Linked DNA regions of Macaca mulatta. The protein of the gene in region 1 purifies or fractionates together with the protein of each later gene. This does not show direct contact. Links are inferred from orthologs where the notes say so. Each region holds a gene or a part of one and is shown in the gene's direction. Other genes may lie near its edges.

What was found.
Region 2: the proteins of FYN (region 1) and PDGFRB purify together in Homo sapiens (pull-down; 3 studies listed by IntAct, with this or other methods). This does not show direct contact. The link is inferred for Macaca mulatta from reciprocal best matches to the Homo sapiens genes FYN and PDGFRB.
Region 3: the proteins of FYN (region 1) and CD36 purify together in Homo sapiens (affinity purification with western blotting; 3 studies listed by BioGRID). This does not show direct contact. The link is inferred for Macaca mulatta from reciprocal best matches to the Homo sapiens genes FYN and CD36.
Region 4: the proteins of FYN (region 1) and SKAP1 purify together in Homo sapiens (affinity purification with western blotting; 3 studies listed by BioGRID and IntAct, with this or other methods). This does not show direct contact. The link is inferred for Macaca mulatta from reciprocal best matches to the Homo sapiens genes FYN and SKAP1.

What each region holds. Positions count from the first base shown.
Region 1 is NC_133409.1:16,943,372-16,947,787, reverse strand, and holds the start of FYN (tyrosine-protein kinase Fyn), read left to right. Parts: upstream 1-1,552; 5' UTR 1,553-1,625; intron 1,626-4,416. UniProt on the Homo sapiens protein: Non-receptor tyrosine-protein kinase that plays a role in many biological processes including regulation of cell growth and survival, cell adhesion, integrin-mediated signaling, cytoskeletal remodeling, cell motility, immune response and axon guidance.
Region 2 is NC_133411.1:159,091,327-159,095,256, reverse strand, and holds part of PDGFRB (platelet-derived growth factor receptor beta), read left to right. Parts: intron 1-607; coding exon 608-712; intron 713-1,073; coding exon 1,074-1,184; intron 1,185-2,231; coding exon 2,232-2,391; intron 2,392-3,362; coding exon 3,363-3,523; intron 3,524-3,930. UniProt on the Homo sapiens protein: Tyrosine-protein kinase that acts as a cell-surface receptor for homodimeric PDGFB and PDGFD and for heterodimers formed by PDGFA and PDGFB, and plays an essential role in the regulation of embryonic development, cell proliferation, survival, differentiation, chemotaxis and migration.
Region 3 is NC_133408.1:138,809,638-138,813,567, reverse strand, and holds part of CD36 (platelet glycoprotein 4), read left to right. Parts: intron 1-1,225; coding exon 1,226-1,295; intron 1,296-2,247; coding exon 2,248-2,435; intron 2,436-3,172; coding exon 3,173-3,291; intron 3,292-3,930.
Region 4 is NC_133421.1:61,830,503-61,834,432, forward strand, and holds part of SKAP1 (src kinase-associated phosphoprotein 1), read left to right. Parts: intron 1-1,952; coding exon 1,953-2,077; intron 2,078-3,930. UniProt on the Homo sapiens protein: Positively regulates T-cell receptor signaling by enhancing the MAP kinase pathway. Required for optimal conjugation between T-cells and antigen-presenting cells by promoting the clustering of integrin ITGAL on the surface of T-cells.

The sequences.
Region 1 (4,416 bases):
CAATATTATAGATTTTTGAGCACAGAAGCAGAAGCTGATTCACTTATAATTTCTTAGAACATTAGATTTGCTGAGGGGGAAAGGTAGGGTTCTTGCCAAAATCATTAAGGAGAGCGATTCTGAGTATGCCTTAAAGCAGAACTTTCAGTAAACAGGAATTACCTATAAAGAAAATCAGGAAGCCAAAGTGTTTCTTTTCATGAAGTTACATCCTGCCATAGAAAAGCTGGATAGGAAATAAAGACCGATGCACTCCCAACTGTATACTAAACCGGCAATTATTTCATCAAGGGAAATCTGAGCAAAAGCTCAGATTCTGTGAAGGGGAAAAAAAACATGAGAGGTTTGAATGTCATAAGAAACCAAAGACAACCAATGGCTACAATTAAACAAGGTTTTTTTGTGGGGGGAAATGTACGAACAAATCTCTGTGATTTCAGGTTCTTTAGTCGCTGCTCGCCCCTCCCCCCATTTCAGTAATACTTCCTCTAGACTTTTGCTAGAAAAGAAATATAAATAAGTGTCTCCAGAAATAGGGGACTGATAAAATGATCCTAATCTCCTTCTCCTCCTCATTGTTATTTGTTGTGCGTTTCCACGTTTCAGTGACAGGATTCTACTTTGTTCGCTACTCTTTTCAGTTTGATCAAAGAAAACGCTGCTATCACCGTCCAGACAATTTTCCATTTCATCCTCTCACCCTCAAATGAAAAGACACCAGAAAGGCAAGATAGCCCTGTCTCGAGGCAGGTTCCCATGGTTTGGGGGGAATGGCAGGTGTCAATCTGCAGCAGCAGCTGCAACCTTCCGCAAAGCAGAAACTGCAGTTCACACTTTCCGCTCTTTCTCCCGCCCTACTCCGCCACCTCACAACTCCACACAATCCTTAAAAACACACAGACCTCCTCCTCCAACCTCGCATCCTCTTGCACACCCTGCACCGCACGCACCCTGGGATGCCCGCTGCCACAGTAACGCTCAACCCACTCGGCGGCCCCACCCACTGCCGTCCCGCCCACGCCCCAGGCGCCAATGGTTGAGGCCCGCAGCTCCCAAGGGGCTCCTTGATAGGGCAGCGGGGCCTGTCACTCTCGGGGCGCACCCCGCCCCCTCCTCGCTCCCCTCCGGAGCTGGAGGGGCCGAGCATCAGCAAGAGTAGCAGCGAGCAGCCGCGGTGGTGGCGGCGGCGCGTCGTTGCAGTTGCGCCATCTGTCAGGAGCGGAGCCGGCGAGGAGGGGGCTGCCGCGGGCGAGGAGGAGGGGTCGCCGCGAGCCGAAGGCCTTCGAGACCCGCCCGCCGGCCGGCGGCGAGAGTAGAGGCGAGGTTGCCCTGCGAGCGGCGCGTCCTCTCCCGCCCGGGCGCGCCGCGCTTCTCCCGGCGCACCGAGGACCGCCCGGGCGCACACAAAGCCGCCGCCCGCGTCGCACCGCCCGGCGGCCGCCGCCCGCACCAGGGAGGGATCCGGCCGCCGGGCCGGGGACACCCCGGCGCCGCCCCCTCCGTGCTCTCGGAAGGCCCACCGGCTCCTGGGCCCGCCGGGGAGCTCCCGGAGCCGCCTCGGCCGCGCCGGAGGAGGGCGGGGAGAGGACCATGTGAATGGGCTCCGGAGCCTGAGCGCCGCGCAGGTAAGCAGGCGGCGGGGATGCGCCGCGAGAGGCCTCGGGGATGCTGCGGAGACGCCCGGCCGCCGGCGCCCCCGCGCACGCCGCCCCCGCCGCGGGGCCCGGCGCTGCGGTCCCTCGGCCGCCGGGGCGCCCCGCGGGGCTGCTGGGGAGTCGGCGCTCGGGGTCTTCGCGTGGCTGCACCCGAGGACACCCCTGCGGGGTGCGGCTCCGAGGCGGCGCGGGGATGGGGGCCCCATTTCCTCGCCCGCAAGCGGGCGCCGAGTGAAAATTGGAATTGGCTTGGGGGTGAGGCTGGCCCAGACTCCGCCCCCGCCCTCCTTTCGGGGCCCCCAGCGGGGACTGGGGCTGTGTGTGTTGTTTTAATGTCAGGGATGATGTAATCACTTAATAATTGATGCCCCGTGCTGCTTCCCTCCCCACCCAACCCCTGCCCCACTCCTCCACCTCTCGGCCTCCTCCCTCGGCGGCGGTCGCCTTCTCCAACCCATCCTCCTGCCTATTTCTGGCACCTCCCTTGCACTTCCCCCATCCTCTCCTTCACTCTTCCTGTGCCACCACCCACCCACCCTTCCCCTTTCCCCTGTGCTAGAGCCTTTCCTTCTCTTCCTCTGTCCCTCACCCCTCTGCTCCCTCCAGCTCCTTTCTCCTTCCTTTCCGGCTCCCTCTCTGGATTTCCTCTCTACTTCCCTAGATCCATGGCTGTTTTTGTTTGGGCTCCTCCCCTCTCTTATCTCTGCGGCCACAGGCGGAGGGGACTGGGCCAGAAGGAGGCCACCGAGCTTGGGCCCAGGGAGAGATGTGCTGGGACTCACTGGGAAGATGGATAATAAAATCACCCTTCTTGCCCCTCCTTCCCCCAATAAATCACACAGACTCGCCGGGTGTGTGTGTGTGAGTGTGAGTGTGACACAAAGAGCCCTTTCAGTGCATAGAAAGGAGACACACAAAGTACCCTAGGATAGGCACGATGCTTCTTGTCTCTCCTCCCTGGGGCTTCCCTTTCTTTCCCATGAAGCAGTTGGTCTCTCTGAGTCTTTCCTGCCACATTTACCAAAAAATAAAAGAACCCCCAGATGCCGGGTGGCAGGTGTCGGCATTTTGCTGTGTTCACAGACCAGTAGTGTTGACTGGCAGCTGCAGTGTTTCTTAGATTTAAGGGGACAATTATTCCAGCAGTCTTAAGAGTTGCTTTACTTTTAAGGTAGCCTCCCTATCCCTATTCTTTCCCCTCTTCTTTTGGGGACAAGTACTAAGAGCTGGGGTAGAGTAAATTGGTGTGGGGGTCACAAGAATTTTGTTTCTGAATCAGAATTAAATTGGTATTTGATAAGGGGGAGGCAACCTGACTGGCTTCTTCTATCAAGTCTAAGAGGTCACTGTGCTGATGTCTTTTGAAATGAAATCCTGTCAGCCCAGTGATGTTGTTTTACCCTTTTATTGAAGTAAATACCTGGGGACGTGGATAAAACGGTCTAGAGTTAGCATTTGGAAGACCACTGCAGACTGTCTTTTGCCTGCTTCAAGGTAGTCTTGGGACGCCCACTTCCTTTCTCACCACCCAAGCAACTGCAATACTTTCCACCCTTTGTACTGTCTTCTTCCCCAGTCCCTGCTCCATGGTTACCCTGTGTTCAGATAAAGGGACTCGCAGACTTTTGGAGGAAGTGGTTTAACTATATGAGGCTTTGGGGCCACTTGGCTATGAACTGGGGCTGTAGAGAATCTTGACTGAAGTCTAAACCATCTGATGTTCTTTTTAAGGAGGAAATGTTAATGTAAATCTGGGGGCTTAATGTTCCGTTTTGTAAACCAGTGACTATTACACGCTTAATCGATATTGTCAAAACTTAAGTGAAACCCGTTCTTCCCTAAAAGTATGGCTCCTCGACTATTATAAGTAACAGAACTGTAGGTTTCTTTTTCAGTAATTTTATTAGAAAAGAGTTATGATTCGTGAAACATTTACTTATGTGCTTTTTAAGAACATTAATCGTGGAGCTTTTTACATTAAAAAAAGCAATAGGGTTAATGAGTGTACTGTGAAAACAAAGGGTCGTTTGTTTGATGCCGGACCCAGGAAGGAAAGCCAGAGCACATAAACTCGCACTCTGTTGACCAAGTTTGAGAGACTTAATGATAAGGTTGAATGTGAGCAAATGCACACTCTGCTTTCTCCTGGGTCTGCGATCTCTAACCCCATCTGACTTCCTTGAAGTCCTTTTTAACCTTTGGCGCCCAGCTCAAATGTCATCTCCTCTGTGAAGCCGTTTCCATCTTCTCCTTTCCAAACAAATCATCATATTTTGGTTTCAAACTTTGGCAGCAGTTACTACGTTTGGCATGAGTCTATTTCCACCATTAGTTGGTCAGCACATTGATAAAAGGAACCTTATCTTATTTATCTTGTTTCCTACCAAGTTTTATCTTAGTGGGTACTCTGTTTCATTTAACAATCAACAAATGTGAGTTAGGTCTTTGGTACGTGTTCAACACCTGTATCAATTAGGCTAATGTTAGCAGTTGTAACAAATAGGCCTGCAAATATATAATGGCTCAAAAGCAATAGATGTTTATTCTTGCTCATTTAATAGTCTAAAGTTCATGTTTCTGATCTGTAGGTGGCTTTCTGCCATGCAGTGATTCTGGGTCCCACACCCCTATCTTTTAGCTCCACCATCCCATAGCTTACCATTGGAACCTGTTTCAGCTTACAGAAGGGGCAACAGAGAGAGTAGACGGGGCACACCCACTTTTGAAATACCTTAGCCTGGAAGTGACACCATCACTTCCT
Region 2 (3,930 bases), on another chromosome or scaffold:
CAGTCCTGGGAGGCCTCAGGTGGCAGTGTGGGGACTCAAGATGGGTGGGAAGACTCTCTGAGGTCTGGTCCCAGCCTTGTCATGACTAGCTATGAGACCTAGGGCTGGTGTCTTGCCTTCTCTGGTCCTCTGTCTCCTGCTATGTACAGTGAGGACAAGACAATCCCCCAGGAACTGCCTAGCATTGAGATTCTATGATCCTGTGACCCCGTGAGACGGGGCCCCTATGTGACAAAAGTGGAAGAATTGAGGACAGGCTGAGTGGCAGGCCGGGTCTGGCTGGGGAAGCTGAGGGGGTACAGAGGAGCGTGCTTCCTTGGGGAGGGAAGAAACTTTCCAGAGATTAAAGATGGGGCAGAAAGCAGGCAGGACTTAGATGAGATGCCAGGAAAGACAGGGAGGCATTGTGGTTGCAGGAGTGTGTTTAGGGAATACCCTGAGTCCAAGGTGGTTTAAGTAATGTCTAGGTTGACCTAAGAGAGTGGCTCTCTCCCCTCACTGGGCAGGAAGGGTGGCAGCGGGGCGGGGGGTCGGGGGGAAGGGGGCAGCGGGGGGAGCGGTGCAGCTTCCTGGTAGGCCAGGAGCTGAGGGATCATCTCTGCACCAGGACGCACCCTCGGCTCTGGGGCCTTTGGGCAGGTGGTGGAGGCCACGGCTCATGGCCTGAGCCATTCTCAGGCCACGATGAAAGTGGCCGTCAAGATGCTTAAATGTGAGTAGTCCTTGGAGCCCTCCACATCTGGGCCTTCACCTCTCCCTGCCCCTCCCCACACACTTAGCCTCTCCCAGGGTGGCCTGATGCTGATTAGCAGGCACAAGAGGGGCCATCACACTGCAGCAGGCGCTGCTCCCGAGTCTGGTTTGGGAAAGAGGGTTCCTCACCCTGGCCGCCTTGGGCTGCCTCCCCCTACCCTGGCCTCTTCCCCTCCTCACAGTGTGGGTGCTCACCCCCCGCCAGGCTGCATGAGTCTTGCAGCACAGGGCGGGGCAGAAGAGTCAGAATAGGCTCCTGTGGTGGGGCCTCCGTGGAGCCCCCATAACTGGGCCTGCCCTGGGGCCCCCATTTTCCTCAGCCACAGCCCGCAGCAGTGAGAAGCAAGCCCTCATGTCGGAGCTGAAGATCATGAGTCACCTTGGGCCCCACCTGAACGTGGTCAACCTGTTGGGGGCCTGCACCAAAGGAGGTACCGAACCCACTGCCCCAGAGGACTCAGGGAAAGTGCCCACCACCAAGGCCAGGCCCCGCCTACCACCTCCTCAGGCCTCACTCAACAGCACACTCCTGCTGGAGGGTCCGTGCCCCCCCACTCCAGCGCCCCCACTGCACGGTCCCAGAGGGCAGTGGGGTTTAGAAACTCACAACGTCACAACACCTTCTCGGCTGAACGATTAGTCGGGTCACCAGTCCCAGCAGCTTCCAGACCATGGTGTTGGCTGATGCTTTTATTTTTACAACACATTTTGAAAACCAATAAATAACAGCTCACATGACATTAAGATGCGTTATACGCCCACCATTGGAGACCACCAGCTTGCTAATTGGGAGCTACCTTTATTTGATCATAGAAGAAAGTCTCTGTGGCCAACTGTGTTTATTTGAAGCTCTGATTGCCAGTTAGGCTGAAAAAAAAAACGTTATCACCATTTGCAGCTGCTTATTGTGAGATCTGGGATTTTCCTCAGCATTATGCAACCAAAACAAAATACAGAAGTATGTTGGGTACATAGACTTATTCACGTCCGCAATGATCACTCATTTCAAAATTTTTGTTCGCGTAGATATCTTCAAGTTCTCACTGACTGACTTTAAGTAAATGCATTGTAGTTGAATTTAACTACTGAAGTGATTATTGTAAACAGTGGCCTTTATCTGCTTTCTATACTGGGCTCCAAAGTAAGCTTTAGTTTGAAAACATATCAATAAGAGCCAACACTGCAGACTTGCCACGTGCCCAGCCAATAAAAACATCATCTCATTAATCCTCATGGCAGTGCTTTGTGGTGGGTTTAATTACCCCACTTAACAGCTGGGGAAGGTAAGGCTCAGGGAGACTCAGTACCTTGCTCTCTACCACAGAGGCAGGAAAAGAACCCAGATTTGCAAGGCACTGAAGCCTCCTAGCCGTCATGCCAAAGTGTCTCTCCCACATCCAGCCCCTGATTAGCCTCGTGGCCTTGAGGAGACGCCCGAGGCCTCCGTAGGGACTGTCCCTGAGCCTGTCCCTCCGCAGGACCCATCTATATCATCACTGAGTACTGCCGCTACGGAGACCTGGTGGACTACCTGCACCGCAACAAGCACACGTTCCTGCAGCACCATTCCGACAAGCGCCGCCCGCCCAGCGCGGAGCTCTACAGCAATGCGCTGCCCGTTGGGCTCCCCCTGCCCAGGTACCAGGAGGGAGGCCAGGGACTGAATCTTTGGGATACCTGAGGAGCACCGCTCCTTCCCCTCCCTTTGTCCGGGAGGAGAAGCTGAGGCTGTGACAGGGCAGGGAACAGAATCACCCCTGGAGCTAGGGCTGTTCTAGAAGGTGGCCCACCCGAGATGAGGGAATAACAGTGATGCCAGGCCCTGTGCTGCTAAGCCCTCTACACATGTGACATGCCATCCCTGTGTCGTGGGTGTTTGCCCTTCAGTCCCGGGCACGCAGTGATGGAGGAAGGGACAGAGGCTGTGGTGAGACGAGAGCCAAGCTCCCAGTTTGCGCAGCGGTGCTCCAGACTGTGTTCCTGTCTACAGCCTCTACACACCAGCCTCCACACTGCCCCTTAGGGAGCTCAACTCCTTTCTTCATCTTTTCCAAAAAGAACATTTCTTAGTTCTTTTGCTGATTACAAAAACAAAGACAAGAGTAGCTTCAGAAAAGCGTAAAAGACTGTAAAGCTCACTCCTGCCCTCTCCAATGTTTTGATCAATTTCCTTCCCATCTTTTTCCTGCCCGTAGAGACATGTGTGTAGAGCCCCACAGCCCTTTGGGGAGCTGACGCTACAGGCATAGGTATCGGGGTGACTCCTGGCTGCCCACACTGGGTTGCAGCCAGGCACTCCTGTGGCCAGGTGGCGCTGGGGAGGCCACAGGAAGGCGCCTCTGTACACACCCATCTTGTGACCTTTGCCTTGGGGCGCTGTCATCGCCTCTGGGTGTGAGCTCTGTGGGTTCTAACTGTCATTTTGGCAGCCTCAGTGCCCAGCTTGGCCCAGCAGGTTGGTTGAAAAGGGTCGATCCATGGGCATTCCTATTGGGATAGCCTGAAGGATGAGTGAGTGTGTGAGAGAAGAAATTCATGAGTGGCAAGGGGCAGGAGGGGAGGGGAAGGCAAAGCCTCCAGGCTCTTCTGTGATGCTCCTTTACCCCCAGCCACGTGTCCCTGACTGGGGAGAGCGATGGTGGCTACATGGACATGAGCAAGGACGAGTCGGTGGACTACGTGCCCATGCTGGACATGAAAGGAGATGTCAAATATGCCGACATCGAGTCCTCCAACTACATGGCCCCCTACGATAACTACGTTCCCTCTGGTGGGTGGACACAGTACCCCACACCCACGCAGGCTGATGCTCTTCACATGCCCAGCCTTGCCAAAAACCCTGGGAAGAAGGGAGTCTCGTGCCCATTTCATAGATGTGGAAATTGAGGCTAGCCACCTGGCAAAAACTGCTCTGTAGTGGACCGCTGTTTGTGGGTCCAGAAACATGCATAGAACCCACAGGGAGGGAGAGAGCAGGGATGTGGGAGGACCTGGCCTTTTGTGGTGCTAGGGAAAGTGATCTACTCAGCTTCGGCCCCAGGCTGGTCTAGTGTCCCTGAGAGGCAGGCAGGCAAGGGCTGGGCAAAAGTGGCCCAAGAGCTAATGCCAAAAGTGTTTCTGGCCAGTGAGGGCACTGATAAAGCAGGAGAACTTTGAGTTCAATATTAAGAAATCATT
Region 3 (3,930 bases), on another chromosome or scaffold:
TGTATTTTTCTTTAATTATTAAGGAAATGGGAAAGCAGGTGTTGGCAATGTCCATATGGGGGCTTATATTTCACTTGTCACAAGAGTGTAAAGTAATGAAAATAAGGTCGCAAGGTTGACACACTTGCCAGAGAAAGAACCTGCAATGCATAATTGAAGATGAGACTTACCATTTAAAATTTATTCAATGACGACTCGTATTAGTGATATTCATGTGAGAAGTACATGGAGGAGTTAACTAATTATTTCTTCATATATCCAGTGTTTGCCATGGATCATAGTTGTAGCAAAAAGTAAATTCAATAAATGACTTTTTTTATATACTTTCAAAGCATTTGAAGTTCTGTTTAGTGAGAGAACTTTAGTAAGTATTTTTAGAAGTATTCATCAGCCATAGGGCCAATGAAAAACAAAATCACTACAAATAAGAAATGTGGACATAGCAGGAGTTCCAAATGAACTTCCCTGGAAGAAAAGTGCCACTCTGCTGGTGGGGTGGGGCATTTCAAAAAACAAACACAATGTTAGCCTTGACATTTCATTTTATGTTTAAGTTTCTTTTATTTTGTACCATTAAATATGTATAGTATGTAGATTTGTTGTTGACTATAGCAGCCCCTAGCCATATGTAACTGTTAAGGACTCAAAATACGGCTAGTATGATTTGAAATGTGCTGTAAATATAAAATGCACCGTGGATTTTAAAATATTTTATAATGGTTACATGTTAAAATATTTTGAATATTAATAAGTTAAATAAAATAGCATTTGGTTTTGTTTTGTTTGAGACAAAGTTGTCCACTTGTTGCCCAGGCTGGAGTGCAATGGCACAATCTTGGCTCACTGTAACCTCCGCCTCTTGGGTGCAAGCAATTATCCTGCCTCAGCCTCCCAAGTAGCTGGGATTACAAGTGCCCACCACCACACCCGGCTAATTTTGTGTATTTTTAGTAGAGATGGGGTTTTACCATGTTGGCCAGGCTGGTCTCGAACTCCTGACCTCAGGTGATCCACCCACCTTGGCCTTCCAAACTGCTGGGCTTACAGGCTTGAGTCACCGTGCCTGGCCGGTTATTTCTTTTTACCTTTTAAAAATGTTGCTGCTAGATAAATAACTTAGGTAGTTTGCATTATATTTCCATTGACTACACTGGAGGAGAGATTTCTAGGTTTTTTTCTAGAACACATATTACATCTCATCATTTGCCACTCGATTTTTAAACAGATGCAGCCTCGTTTCCACCTTTTGTTGAGAAGAGCCAAGTATTGCAGTTCTTTTCTTCCGACATTTGCAGGTAAGAGAAAAACTGAAGTATGTCTGAGTCAGACCCCAGGTGACAAAATGCAGACCAAGAAACTTTATTATTTTTCTCAAATAATGATTAAACACAGCATAGAAAATTCATAATGTTTATTAACTCTGCAAAATATTCTTCTATATCTTCCAATTTTTAATAGCGTAAATCATTTTTTTGCTATTTCTATCTAAGCAAGAACCATTTTGCCTTTTTGAAACTAAACTAGTAGTCTAATAACAATGAAGTTCAGAAGGGTAAGTCCAGTCTTTCTAAAGACATACAGAGAAGATGATGCAGATGTAACAGAACTGTGTTCATGTGCTCTGCTCAAATTTGTGGGGCCCAGTAGATAACCCACGAACACTGGAGCCTTTACCACTACCCTCAAGCCCAAGCTCTGTCCCTAAAGACTGTATGATGGTGGGTAAGCATTTAACATCTCGGATTTGTTTTCTTATCTGTAAAATTTAAGACAGCAGTATTTCTTCATATAGGTGTATCTGGGGATTAGAAAAAAAATGTGTATTGAACCCTATGGTTCTATACAAGTAGACACTTGGTAAATGATGGAAATGTACCAGGTATATATCCAGCATGTATATGCACACACTCCAGTGAGTGGTCTTTCTCTCCAGGACTAATTAAGCTGTGAAAGAAACTTTATTTCATTTAAACTGATCACAAATAAAGTATTTGAAAGAAGTGCTATAAATATTTACTAACTTTGGTATAAATAAACATGGTACTTCACAAACAAGAATAGTTCATACTTGGGTATTGAGTTCTAGTATGTGTTAAAATTTCCCAATCACTTTTTTTCCTAAGAATGAAACAAGAATTTAAGATAGAGTGTATGATGTTTGTAAGGTAAAGCAAGAATAAGAAAAAATGAATCTCCAGAATGTAAGTTCAGGTTCCTGGAATGCAGCTCTTTTTTCTCTGTATTTAGGTCAATCTATGCTGTATTTGAATCCGACGTTAATCTGAAAGGAATTCCTGTGTATAGATTTGTTCTTCCATCCAAGGCCTTTGCCTCTCCAGTTCAAAACCCAGACAACCATTGTTTCTGCACAGAAAAAATTATCTCAAAAAATTGTACATCATATGGTGTGCTAGACATCAGCAAATGCAAAGAAGGTGAGTAAATATCCTCAGCAGCACAGTCCATATCATAATTTGTGATATTCTTTAAAATGAGACCTTTACCACAATCCCTTTGCAAGCAAAATTTAAAATTAAAGTAAGAAAGTAATTAGGGCAGAATGGTGGCAGAAAATTTTAGTGCTGATTTTGTATTTTGGGAAGGTCCCAAATATGTGTTTCAGTGTTACAAAATTTAGTTAAAACCACACTAGCATTTCTTTGTGGCTGCTTTTAGATTTAGGGTGAAATGAAAATAATTCCGAGAACACTTTGCGCATCCTGTTATCCATTTGTCATTGTTCTAACTTTTTTCACTAGAAAATGGTACAGGTAAATGTATTTTCAGTATGTATCTAAAGCTAGAGTTAAACATAAAATTTGGAGGCTAGCTTATACTGTACATATTTATCATACTAACATGGGTGTGGAGGAAGAAAAAAAAAAACTACTGTTAAATAAATTCTTAGTCCCTAGACATATTACTGCCTGAAAGCTGAACATATATAGTGGAAACTTTGGGTTCATCAACAAAACTCTATATATTGAAAATTAATACTGAAGGGGTTTACAGTAGAAATCAACTGATATAATTCTTCCCCACCCATGTTAAAAACAAAATATGTATTTTTTTTTTAATTTAAGAAGTTTTAGTTTTATGGAAATATTTTTTGAGTTATATATGAAATGAAGGAAGCTATTAATTCCAATTGACTCTTAAAACTTGTCTTCAGGGAAACCTGTGTACATTTCACTTCCTCATTTTCTATATGCAAGTCCTGACGTTTCAGAAACTATTGATGGATTAAACCCAAATGAAGAAGAACATAGGACATACTTGGATATTGAACCTGTAAGAAAACACATTATTGATCTGATTTGGTTGCTATTTTAAACAATACAATTGAAATAAAAATAATCTTGGAGATAACACTAATCATAGTTATTGAATCACATTCTTTTAAGTTACTGAAACTTACGTCGATTTTTTCCTATTGTTGTTTATGAAGTGATTCTAATTGGCTTAAAATATTTATATAAAATTATGCTTATGAGGAGTTATTGTATATTACGTAAAATTCAAAGAGTGAGTGTATGTGAATTTGACTATACTTATTGTTAAAATTTATAAAATTGTTATAGCACAACAGTTTTAATCTTTATTTTTGTATTTTCCTTTTCAAAAAGTAAATGAAATTCTAGAATTTTACTAGTCATGTTTTAGTTTAAACAATGACACAAGTAGTATTATAACTAATGATACATGGATTCTAACAGCATATATATTTGACCAGGAATTATCTGAGATCTTATATTTTGTTGTTGATTTCTTTAAACCATTTCAAGTAAATCACAAATCTAACTAAAACCTTGACATTCGATTGGGCAAATAAATTGTGTATCTATATGGATGCGTGTGTATATAAATATAACTATATAGAGAGTTTTAAAAGTTTCAAGTAGTCCTGTTTAACCTTAAGTTACTACCTTC
Region 4 (3,930 bases), on another chromosome or scaffold:
GTTGCCTTTGTACTTCCTGCACCTGCAGTACTAAGGTAGTAGAAAGAAATACAGCCTCGGGCCAGGCGCAGTGGCTCACGTCTGTAATCCCAGCACTTTGGGTGGCCAAGGCAGGCAGATCATGAGGTCAGGAGTTCAAGACCAACCTGGCCAACACAGTGAAACCCCGTCTCTACTACTAAAAATACAAAAATTAGCCAGGCATGGTGGCAGGTGCCTGTAGGCTGAGACAGGAGAATCGCTTGAACCCAGGAGGTGGAGGTTGTGGTGAGCCGAGATCACGCCACTGCACTCCACCCTGGGCAACAGAACGAGACTCTTTCTTAAAACACTGAATCTTTGCTAAGTTACTTGAAATCCTTAAGATTTGCCCTTGGGCTTGGTAGCAATTGCCTCATGCTGCCTCCCTGCCTGCAGTAGTTATCACAGACCTTTGCCTACCTTTCACCATCCTACATCCCTCAGAACCTTTCCCATCTAGGGGCAAAGGCTAAAGCCCTGTTTGGAAAGAATAACAGCATAGTTTGTAAACTGAGCTACAAGTCCCATGTGTCCTTCCAACCCCCAACCCGCTCTCAAACCCAGCAACCACAATTTCTCCTCTAAATTATAGGCATACAACCCAGCCAGTTGTTCTTTTCTTATTTTAAACCTTCAAACTAATATGCCATTTGTCACTGTAAATATGTTCATCATTTCTTTTGCATTTAAATAAGTGGTTGGCATATCTAGATATAAAACCAGGTGTGTCACATCTGTTCATTCAGAATCTTCCATACTCACGGTGAGAAAGGAGGGGGGACAGTAAGAGCAAGAGACTCAGAGGCTTTTATTGACCATTTTGCCATCAGGGTGAAATAAAATCTGGTGACCAAAGAAACAACAAAACATTTTAGTGGCCGGTTAGAACAAGGAGAGATACTTTAACAAAAAAGATTCTGGTGTCAAAAAGCACTGTTCCATGGCTCCCTTCTTGCCAGTTATTTCTTATTGTGCCCATGACATTTTCTTAGTAAGAATAGTGTTTGTGTATTTCTTTTAGCTTAACCAGGTGAGGACAGAGTCTTTTTTCTTCTTCTTTCTTTTTTAATATTGTCAGCACACTGCCATCCTTCTCATCATTATCATCATCAAAAAGCATTTATTAAGCAATTCATTTCACATGATATAGAGCTCAAAGCATCCCAGACACTGTGGTTCCTGTTCTCTATGTGTTCTGCCTGAACCACACAATGAGGACAAAAATTCTTGAGAGCCACCTCCTCTTTTTCTGTTTCTAACACTTTTTTTTGGTAGTGACAAGCAGAAGTCTCTCTTCACTTAGGGTCCTTTTCCTTTTGTCTCCTTCCTCGTCATCTAATAATACTCAACATTATTCTGCTACTTCTCAGGTTGACCTCTTACAAGGAGGATAAATACTGAGTTTTAATCATTCTCCCTCTAGCATAAATTCCCACCTGACCAGCAGGGAAGGGGGAGAGAAGTTTAGCTCAAATGCTACATAGGGCATGGGAGGCAATTCTGGGACCTTATAATGCCCCCCTGTGCTGCTGTCCCTCCCCTCAAATGTGAGCTCTGCTGGCCCTGATAATAATGTTTCAGCTCTATAATAGCCTTCAAGAGCCTCACATTTACAGCCACACTCTCCCTGCTGTAATAATTCCTTCTTTCTGTTATTATAGATCTCTTAACATTCTAATAAATTCTCTGTCTCTGTTGTACTCTTTTGGCAAAATAACCTTTCACGTTGCATTTCCCTAGCTTGGCAGTGATATCTGCCTTACTGTCGCAGTAGCCTCTTCTTCAGCTTCTCTAATAACCTTTCCTTGACTATTGTGGTTCCTCAGGGATGTAACAGCTGTTTCTGTGCTTTTATTTTACATACCAGAGAAGATGCCTTCCCTTGGCAGTTGCATCTCTCTAGGGATACAGGGAGCTTTCCTGTCTTGCAGGCAAGCAGCCCAAAGGGACCTTCCTCATTAAGGGCTACAGTGTTCGGATGGCCCCCCACCTGCGAAGAGATTCCAAGAAAGAATCCTGCTTTGAACTGACCTCCCAGGATAGGCGCAGCTATGAGGTAGGACGCACCGAGGAGATGGTGATCCTTGTTGGTGTTGCAGTTTCCTTTCGTGTTGCATGTGAGCCATGGTTGCTATGCTGGGTTCCAGCCTTTCTTTGTTACCTGCTCATTTCATACCAACTAAGACCCTATTTCTTGACATGTCTTCACATTTGCTATGCCACACCCTCCCCTCTGTTGCCACTCTCATCCTAGATACAGACTTTGCTTGGCTTCCATCCTTCATTCCTCCTCTTCTCAATTTCAATTCATAGGTGAGATGCTTGTCAGTTGCAGCACACAATCCAATTCCTTACTTATAGTCTCTGATTTTATGGTTTAAATTCCCATTCTCTTTATTTTTCAACTGATTTTCTTCACTTCCTCCCATAAAACCCAAAAAAAGAAGATCTAACTGTAGAGTGAAAAAAAAATTATTTTCCCATGTTCATCTTGCTATCCAAAATAATCTTCCTGTATGTCGATGCTTTGCATATCTCTGGAAGGATTTCTAAGGTATTGGTGACAATAGTTAGTAATAATAATAATTGAAGGACTAGAGGACCTGGTTGGGGCATGAAAGATTTATTCCTTACTATGCTCAGTTTGAATCTTTACCTCATTATAAAATTAATTTGTTTCATTTTATTTTTGCCATCTTCATCCTGAATGACCAATAAAATTTAAAAATTTCTGACTGTGGAAATATAGTGATTTTCACCAAAAATGTATGTGTGCATGTGTGTGTGTATTGTTTTCTGCTCTTTGGTAATGTTTATCTTATTACAATTTTATTAAAGCAATTTAGAAAAACTTTAGCTTATGAAAAAGGAAAACACCATACTAAGAGTAAATTAACCACTTAAATAACACTTTTAGTCTTCAGACTTTTCTCAGCATTCTTCTTTTTATTTCTACAGTATCTTAACTCTTATTTTGTTAAAGGACCTAGGTCTTCATTATGTAATTTCCAGAAATTTTTAAAAATTTGAATTAAAATTTTTTATAGAGTCCTTTATGAATATATATAAAATAGATCTATGCACTGAATATGTTCCTAGTTATTTTTATTATTATATTCTGATAGTAACACATCCAGATAAAAGTTTATGTAACAAGTCTAAACAAGTATTTCTAGAAATGTTTTTATAGAAATTTGTTTTTAAGAAATCAAGAATAACAATGTCTATTAATAAGTATTATGCAGGAATCCAGTTTCTTTGTGTAGCAGATATCTTTACCTTACCTTAATGGTCAGATAATTAAAATATTTTTCAGGGACAATTATTTCAAGTTGATTCATTTAAAATAAAAAACTTACTAAGGGCTGATGCTTGACTGGCCTATTTTGTAAATCAGAATGTATTTACTTCTTTTCTTTGGCCTATTGAATCCAAATCATTACCATGGTCCATGGATTCTTCTTCTACAATATCCTTCGGCTCTTTCCCTTCTTCTTTATTCCCACAGCTATCACAATGGTTAAGTTCCTGTCACTTCATCCAGAGGACCAGTTGGTCTTCTATCTCCAGATTTCTCTATTCCAATCCTTCCTACTCACAGCTATTGAAAGAATCCCCACTCCCTTTGCTAGAGCTGATAGTGGCTTCCCGTTGCCTACATTTTAACTCTGAGCTCCTAGTACTCAGAGCCCTTTTACCAACTCTTCTCTGACCCTCAACTCTCCAACTTCATCTGTTATTGTTCTCCAGTCAAACTGATCTGCCAGCCTTCCCCATAAGTCATGTTCTCATTCCTGTTCTTTTGCACATGGGCCTCCCTACCTAAAATGTCCAACTCTGTCCACCAGTTTCCACCAACTCTTCTTTAAAATCCAACCAAAAGGGTATTATTTTAGCAAGCCACTCTGA